2 linked regions of the Xenopus tropicalis genome follow. The protein of the gene in region 2 purifies or fractionates together with the protein of the main gene of each other region. This does not show direct contact. Links are inferred from orthologs where the notes say so. Each region holds a gene or a part of one and is shown on either strand. Other genes may lie near its edges. The genes, in order: chchd4 and cox6b1.

The links.
Region 1: the proteins of cox6b1 (region 2) and chchd4 purify together in Homo sapiens (co-immunoprecipitation; 3 studies listed by BioGRID and IntAct, with this or other methods). This does not show direct contact. The link is inferred for Xenopus tropicalis from reciprocal best matches to the Homo sapiens genes COX6B1 and CHCHD4.

Annotation. Positions count from the first base shown.
Region 1 is NC_030680.2:132,948,529-132,952,985, reverse strand, and holds the start of chchd4 (mitochondrial intermembrane space import and assembly protein 40), read right to left. Parts: upstream 2,928-4,457; 5' UTR 2,871-2,927; coding exon 2,849-2,870; intron 1,624-2,848; coding exon 1,525-1,623; intron 1-1,524. Other genes in the region: tmem43 (transmembrane protein 43), read left to right, coding at 3,254-3,265.
Region 2 is NC_030683.2:124,521,526-124,525,971, forward strand, and holds the start of cox6b1 (cytochrome c oxidase subunit 6B1), read left to right. Parts: upstream 1-1,331; 5' UTR 1,332-1,388; intron 1,389-2,419; exon of another isoform or gene 2,420-2,554; intron 2,555-4,446. UniProt on the Homo sapiens protein: Component of the cytochrome c oxidase, the last enzyme in the mitochondrial electron transport chain which drives oxidative phosphorylation.

The sequences.
Region 1 (4,457 bases), on a different chromosome or scaffold from region 2:
CCGAAAACTGGAGCGTGCTTAGAGTTATTCGCTGACACTGCATGCTCAGTTAATCTAGTTTGGATCCACAGCCTTTCCACATTTAACTGTTTGGAACCATCGGCCACCTGTATGAGAACCACATCCAGATACTGAATAGAAACAAGAGGCAGCAAATAATAAAAGAATACACTGAGCTTGAGTGCTGTATTGTTATGGACTTTATAAAGGTTGGGGGAAAACAAAAACAACCAAATGAATGCTTTAGAAAAAAATGGCAGTAGATCTGTGGGTGTCAGCCCCCAAAGCAATTATACTGGAGAATCAGAATTCAATATCATGTACAATAGTATTCATTGCCTAAAAGACAAAACATGATTGGCCAACAATCCCTATTAGTGAAAATAGCATTAAAAAAAATCAGCAAGTGAAGGGCTAGTTTAACATTCATGGTTTAAAATGGAGACAACAATAGAATTCTAAGGTAATTGGTAGTTTTATAAGTATTAATTAAAACATAACCTTTTTTTTCCTTCTTTGAGACTATATTGATGAATCATGTGAAGCAATAACAATAACTTTGTGAATATGATCAAGTAAAATCATGTACCTCTCTGAAATAATCAAGTTACTCTTCACTAACCTCCTTTTAGCAATCTGTCTCTACATGCAGCTTTGTGTCCGAGTTGGTTATTTTGAAGGAAAGTTAGCTTTATACACTGTCAAGGCAAAGGGAAATATTTGACCTATCGACCAAAATGTGACTGACCCTTGTCTGAATAAAGACAGATTGCTGAGGGGGAGAGTGAACAGTAACTTTTCAGATACAGTACATTATTTTAATTGATTATATCCATCAAGTTCCTTATTTTTCTTGTGATACCTCCCCTTAAAGACCAGCATTGATTATTTGCAGTATGTTATTTGCCTGCTGTTTGCTCTTAAGATGCTGCAGTTCACTCTCCGGCCAGCTGAGGGAGCTAGCACCCCACCACATTACTTTAAACTTCATACTCTGACAAAAATAGGCAATAACAACCTGAAGCCACTGCAGTGCTTCAATATACAAGTGATTAAGACATAATACTTTTTTAAGTATGCCAGTAAATCACTCGTTGTTTAACATTGATAACTACAGTGTGACTTTGCCTTTAATATGTTGATCTGTAGGCATGAAGTAGACCCCAAGAGTGTTGGAGCCAGCACAGCATAAGTATGAGCAGCGTAAGCATGACCGATAGCCCATAAAAAACAATAAAAGAATTAAACGCCCATTCATCTCTAAAGAATGACATGGAAATCTAATACAAACTGATTTCCATAAGACAATATTTTTTTTATACCACTGTTGCACTCATGATGTAGCTCCCATCAGAAATGATGGCGATTTATGTGAAAAGTCTTAAAGCTTCTAAAATTATCTTTTGCACCTATGACCTTGCAGTTGTTGTAGAACAAAGACTCAGCTGATGTAAAGTGCAGGCAACACACTACTATCTATAGCTCAAGCATTATTACACAGCTCACACTCTGGCTCTTACTGACCATGGTCCTCATAAGGGTCATTTGGATCATCTGCGATCAGCTCGGCGCTACTGGGAGTTTCATGGTCCTCCTTGGTTACAAAAATGATTTTGTCCTTTCCTGAAACGTACATGAGAAACAATTAGGCTTTAGAATCACAACAATCCATTCTATTTGGGAACTGTAAATTAAAATAGTTACTATGCTATGATATCTGCACATTGTTTGGTATTAGGAAATTAAAGTTGCTTTGTAAGTTGCTGCAGGAAGGCAAGTGTTTATGTGCTAAAATATCTAGCAATGGTATTCTTGCCATTGTACTAATGAAATAAATGCAGGGTTACAGTAAATACCATATAAAAAAGTTTAATTGCCTTCAAAAATGAACACAGACCAATCAGTATAACACAACTGCAGTCTATTATTTGACATTTCAGCAATAATTGGTTTGATATAAATATATATATTGTACAAATACATAGAATAGCAATCACACTTTTACATTGAATATTACAATGCCCATACCTGGTGCACTCTAACCTTCCAGTTTGTGCCTGTATGTTAGATTGTAAGCTCTACGGAGCAGGGACCTCCTTCCTACTGTGTCTCATACCACATGGCACTTATTCCCTGTGCATTTATATATATTTATTGTATTTATTTATTATATCACTTGTCCTCCCTGTGTGTAATTCTGTATATTGTAAGATTGTACAGCGCTGCATACCCTTGTGGCGCTTTATAAATAAAGTTATACATACATACATAGACATAAACCCTTTGCCCTGATTTTAGAAGCAGAATTCTGCAATAAATAACACATGCTTTATACAATTAAAAGGGATCTATATCCAAATAGAAAGCTAATGTATGCCTATGCCATGCCTTCATAGTTAAACTGCCCCCTGGGTTGCTGACATTGATCTAATGAGCCCAGACGTAGAGAAAATGACTGTTAAATGCTAAAGAGTTCAGAGGAGGACCCTGGGTAAGTTTCCAGTAATCCATTTCCTTGGGTTTAGATCCCCACTAAGAGGCTCAAACAGACATAAGTTCCCAATGACCTTGCAAATAGCGAACTCATTGCAGGCAGCAGAGAGCCTTAGCAGGGGATACTGTCCCTTTAAGGAACTCCGAGGCCAGGTTTTCCCTTGTATAACCCTCAGGGTTCGGTTCCATGCCCAGCCCCTGTGTCCCTGTGCCCTCTGTCACTTTGTGCGGCCTCTCTCCCCTCCAGTTCTCCTTACTGCCAGGCTGCCCCCATTGCAGCTCTTCTCTGGCCCAGTCCCCCTGTGACACAGGCAGCTCGGCTCCCACCCCGTACCCCGGGCACATTCCCACTCACCTTCCTGCCTGCAGTAGGACATGGCTGCAGCTCCACAACACGGCGCCCGGCACAGCACCGCCTGCGCACACCAATCACGTCACACTGCGCGACTCACACAGAGGACCCCGCACATAGGCCTGCCCTCCTAGCTGCCTGACAGTAATTCATAACCTCCACCCTCACCAATTCCACCCTAGTCTCCATGCGTAGTATAGCTCATAGGATATTACTGACAATAAGCGCCACTGAATAGAACCAGGGAGGCGTTAAAAACTACATTTCCCGTGACACTGCGCGGAAGGCCAGCTACGCATGCGCAGAATGTACTGACGTGTCAGGGAGGCAACTTTGTAGCAAGAAGTTCTGGTAGGAGATAAAGTAGAGAGCGTCTGCGGAAAAGTTTATCATCCTAAGGCAGCCAGGATGAAGGGACATGTAAGTGACTTTCATTTCCATATACATCCTGTAACATTACTGTAATAGTAACCCCAAGGTGCCACCATATGTTTTATAGTGTGAAACAAATGCAGTAATAACTGTAGGGCTAAAAAATTGTGTTAATGCCAATTAAGACTCCTAGCCTATTGCACATTGTTCTCATCACATTATCCTTTTATTTATTATTATTATTATTATTATTAATAACATTTATTTACGTTTCCCTTTTTCCCTTTCCCTTTCCCCCTGGTTCATGATGTTGAAAAAAAAAAAATCTTGTAAACATTATAAGTAAAGCTCAGTATTGGTATTGTACTAATGCTAGATTTTGATGCAATCTTGAAAACTTAAATAAAGAGTTTAAAAAAAGTTTGTTAATGTCCAGCACTTCATAGTGCTTGCGCCCCTAACGTACTTTATTAAGCAGACTCTAGTCTACACTAAAAAAAATGGCTTTTCTTGCAGGGTAAGGAACAAGTTCCCCCGCTGCAAAGTTCATGTAGGAGATACTATATAATTCAGTAAAATAGCTTCCAACATAAACAGCTGATGTCCCTCTATAATAAGCAGGGCATATTAATAGTTAAAATGAATAATTAATGTGCTAATAAGTCAGTCAGCTCATTGGGGGCAGTGGAATTTACCTTAAGTTTTTTAATTCATTGGTGGTCAATTGAGTTTGTCTCTGCCCCTGGGAAACAATCTCCCGGGTTTGACAGCTCTGAATATGACACATTTTGTGTCCTGGACTGGCAATTTGTCCATTCTGGCCAATGCCAAAGGGCTGCTGTAAGATGCCATTGATAGTCACTATTAATTGGGCTTGTACTTCAAATCACCTGTACTGACCAATTATGAACTGAGAGCACAAAATGTGCTGCATGGCATGTATTGTTGATTAAAGCACGTATACTACTATGTCTGAGCAATTTCTTTACAAAGTTAATGTTTGGTTACGCCGAGCTTGTGTACTATGCTGAAACATATTTGAATATAAATGCAGCTATGCAGGTAGAAGGCCTCAGAACAGCGCATAATCAGGTTTAAATAAATATTTATAGAAAAATAAATTGAGCAGAATACTTACATATAGGCAGGGTGTGTTAGTTTGGAAGCACAATTGCTGTTTCCAAGTAGCATCATGGTAATAACTGCCTTTTATTAATCACAGGACTTAAGGCAACAGGTA
Region 2 (4,446 bases):
TAGATATAACGAAAACTGATCGACAAAACTATTGTAACCCTAGACATATTTGATAGCACTGAAATGAAATCAAGAACTTCCAATAGCCATGAATGAGCTCCTCCCATATCCGAGGGACGCCTTGTACAACTACATCTTTCATACTCTTACAGATTTAGATTCTACAACTTTGAGACTCAAATAAATGTACCAGTAGTCGCCTGCCCTCAGCCTGCCTCCTCCCAATCCCACAATCCCCTGCTGCACACGTGATGTCAATAAGGAAAGGTACATCACAGTGCCTCCTCCCAATCCCACAATCCCCTGCTGCACACGTGATGTCAATAAGGAAAGGTACATCACAGTGCCTCATCCCAATCCCACAATCCCCTGCTGCACACGTGTTGTCAATAAGGAAAGGTACATCACAGTGCCTCCTCCCAATCCCACAATCCCCTGCTGCACACGTGTTGTCAATAAGGAAAGGTACATCACAGTGCCTCATCCCAATCCCACAATCCCCTGCTGCACACATGTTGTCAATAAGGAAAGGTACATCCCAGTGCCTCATCCCAATCCCACAATCCCCTGCTGCACACGTGATGTCAATAAGGAAAGGTACATCCCAGTGCCTCATCCCAATCCCACAATCCCCTGCTGCACACGTGATGTCAATAAGGAAAGGTACATCACAGTGCCTCATCCCAATCCCACAATCCCCTGCTGCACACGTGATGTCAATAAGGAAAGGTACATCACAGTGCCTCATCCCAATCCCACAATCCCCTGCTGCACATGTTGTCAATAAGGAAAGGTACATCACAGTACAATGCATTGTGGGTTATGTAGTTCCTGTAAAATATGGAGAAGTTGTTACAACTTTCAACATCAGTGTTTTAGTCCCTCCTCCCCTGCCAGGATTTCAAATGATGCAGAAAGAGAAGAACTGTTTTGCAGCTGGATTTCATTTAATAAAAATGCCTTTTATTCATAGTTTTTCAAAGAACAGATTACAGTGCTATGGGGTGTCTGTGTTGTGTGAAACTCTGTAACAAGTTTGGGTACAGAAGCCGCAGTTCCCCTATGAAATGGAGATAACTAGTCAACAGCTTCCGCCCCAAGGCTACGTGCCCGCTTCTCTCACACACAATGGCGCCAACAGCCGACGGTTCAACCAATAAGAGCCTGAGCTCAAACCAACCCTTAGTTAGCCCCGCCAGTCTGGCTTCCCATTCGCTACTGCGCTTGACTCCTTAGCCCCGCCCATACGTGACCTCATCACGCTGGACGCGCAGGTACTTACTGCCCTTCCTGCTGGTGCCCTTAGTGTATGCCTGTGACGTACATCCGGCCTCATAGCCGCATTTCCGTAGCTGGGTAGAAGTGACATTGAGGAAGACGAACTCGAGGTGAGAGTGTGGCGGCCCCGGGCTCCGGGCTGGGGAGGCCGAGAGGGAAAGGGCAGTGGTGGGAGTAACATAGGACGGGATAAGTGTCGGTGTGAGGGGGCTGGGCTGGGGCGCAGCTTGTCTGAACGGATAAACGAGGTGCTTGGAAGGCGCGGTGATCCTGGGAGAAACCATTCCTTGGTGGGGGGGGGGCGATATGGTATATATATCCCACAACCTTCCTGCTAGGCTTCCCTTGCTGTCCAATTAGGTTACTGGTAGGGGCCCTCGGCCTAGTTATCGCCCATTGGTATTACAGGGGCTGCTGGGTACTGTAGTGAGGGTTGGCCCTACGTGCTGTCACTGTGCTACACCCACACTGCAGCCTTCTTGCATTCCAATTAAAGGGCAACACACCCTGCAACTCTAAGATATATTAATGCATTCGCAATGGAAAGCAGTATCTGGCTTTTTATACTCTCTGCACTGCTGGTTCTGACTCCCAGCTTCTGCTGATGATGAGACCTGTAACTGATGTCTGCTACATTGTTTCAGGAGTCAGAACCAGAGAACAGAAATGGGGTGGAAAAAAAAAATACTGACTAATGCCCAAGTTTAATATGTGTAATGCCCGGCAGCTGTGCCTCTTACATGGGACCCTCGGCCTCTGGGTAATTCTTCCGAGGGTTTGACTGGTTATTCCTTTGAAAAAAGTAGCAGGGTCAAAGTTTATATGGTGGTGTGGGTGGAATTGCCTATAAAGGTGGCAGTTGGTTCAGGTGACAGGTAGGTAGGTGCACGTTACTTGTGGCTATAGAACCAAAAGGGGGAATTAAATAAAGTTCAAATGGGAATTGTCTTCTAGAAAAGTTAGTTGTAAGTCAGACTTCCCCTTTATTGCCCTTACTGATAATCCCACTATGGGAAATGACAGTGGGTGTTTGTCACCTTGTAACTAGGTGACCTGTATGACCAGGCGTGAAACATACGTGTGCAGTTCATCCCCGTGTCTGGGTTTATAAGGGTTTGTTAAACTGTCACCTTTCCCACAGAAGCTTCTCGTCTTTTGTCGACTGGGAGGAAATTTATTCTGCAGTTTATTAGAACGGAGCCGCCCTGAGAAGTTTCGTCTGATTTAATAGACTGGGGAGGGAATTTGGGCTTCAAGGCTCTATCATTTATACCAAGTAGGGCTTTTTTACTTATGGTCCTTCCGCTGTTGTTCAACTGCAACTTGTAGACTTGTCTGATACTAATATAGCTCTTATCCCACTGCCAGACATCCTTCCCATAGGCTATAGGCACCATCTCTCCCTACTATACCTGCTATCCCACAGCCCCAGTCCCTTCCCAGAGGCTATTATCCCCCACTGCTACTATAGGCACCATCTCTCCCTACTATACCTGCTATCCCACAGCCCCAGTCCCTTCCCAGAGGCTATTATCCCCCACTGCTACTATAGGCACCATCTCTCCCTACTATACCTGCTATCCCACAGCCCCAGTCCCTTCCCAGAGGCTATTATCCCCCCACTGCTACTATAGGCACCATCTCTCCCTACTATACCTGCTATCCCACAGCCCCAGTCCCTTCCCAGAGGCTATTATCCCCCCACTGCTACTATAGGCACCATCTCTCCCTACTATACCTGCTATCCCACAGCCCCAGTCCCTTCCCAGAGGCTATTATCCCCCACTGCTACTATAGGCACCATCTCTCCCTACTATACCTGCTATCCCACAGCCCCAGTCCCTTCCCAGAGGCTATTATCCCCCCATTGCTACTATAGGCACCATCTCTCCCTACTATACCTGCTATCCCACAGCCCCAGTCCCTTCCCAGAGGCTATTATCCCCCCACTGCTACTATAGGCACCATCTCTCCCTACTATACCTGCTATCCCACAGCCCCAGTCCCTTCCCAGAGGCTATTATCCCCCCGCTGCTACTATAGGCACCATCTCTCCCTACTATACCTGCTATCCCACAGCCCCAGTCCCTTCCCAGAGGTTATTATCCCCCCACTGCTACTATAGGCACCATCTCTCCCTACTATACCTGCTGTCCCACAGCCACAGTCCCTTCCCAGAGGCTATTATCCCCCCACTGCTACTATAGGCACCATCTCTCCCTACTATACCTGCTATCCCACAGCCCCAGTCCCTTCCCAGAGGCTATTATCCCCCCACTGCTACTATAGGCACCATCTCTCCCTACTATACCTGCTATCCCACAGCCCCAGTCCCTTCTCAGAGGCTATTATCCCCCCACTGCTACTATAGGCATCATCTCTCCCTACTATACCTGCTATCCCACAGCCCCAGTCCCTTCTCAGAGGCTATTATCCCCCCACTGCTACTATAGGCACCGTCTCTCCCTACTATACCTGCTATCCCACAGCCCCAGTCCCTTTCCAGAGGCTATTATCCCCCCACTGCTACTATAGGCACCATCTCTCCCTACTATACCTGCTATCCCACAGCCCCAGTCCCTTCCAGAGGCTATTATCCCCCCACTGCTACTATAGGCATCATCTCTCCCTACTATACCTGCTATCCCACAGCCCCAGTCCCTTCCAGAGGCTATTATCCCCCCACTGCTACTATAGGCATCATCTCTCCCTACTATACCTGCTATCCCACAGCCCCAGTCCCTTCTCAGAGGCTATTATCCCCCCACTGCTACTATAGGCACCATCTGTCCCTACTATACCTGCTATCCCACAGCCCCAAGCCCTTCTCAGAGGCTATTATCCCCCCACTGCTACTATAGGCACCATCTGTCCCTACTATACCTGCTATCCCACAGCCCCAGTCCCTTCCCAGAGGCTATTATCCCCCCACTGCTACTATAGGCACCATCTCTCCCTACTATACCTGCTATCCCACAGCCCCAGTCCCCTTCCCAGAGGCTATTATCCCCCCACTGCTACTATAGGCACCATCTCTCCCTACTATACCTGCTATCCCACAGCCCCAGTCCCCTTCCCAGAGGCTATTATCCCCCCACTGCTACTATAGGCACCATCTCTCCCTACTATACCTGCTATCCCACAGCCCCAGTCCCCTTCCCAGAGGCT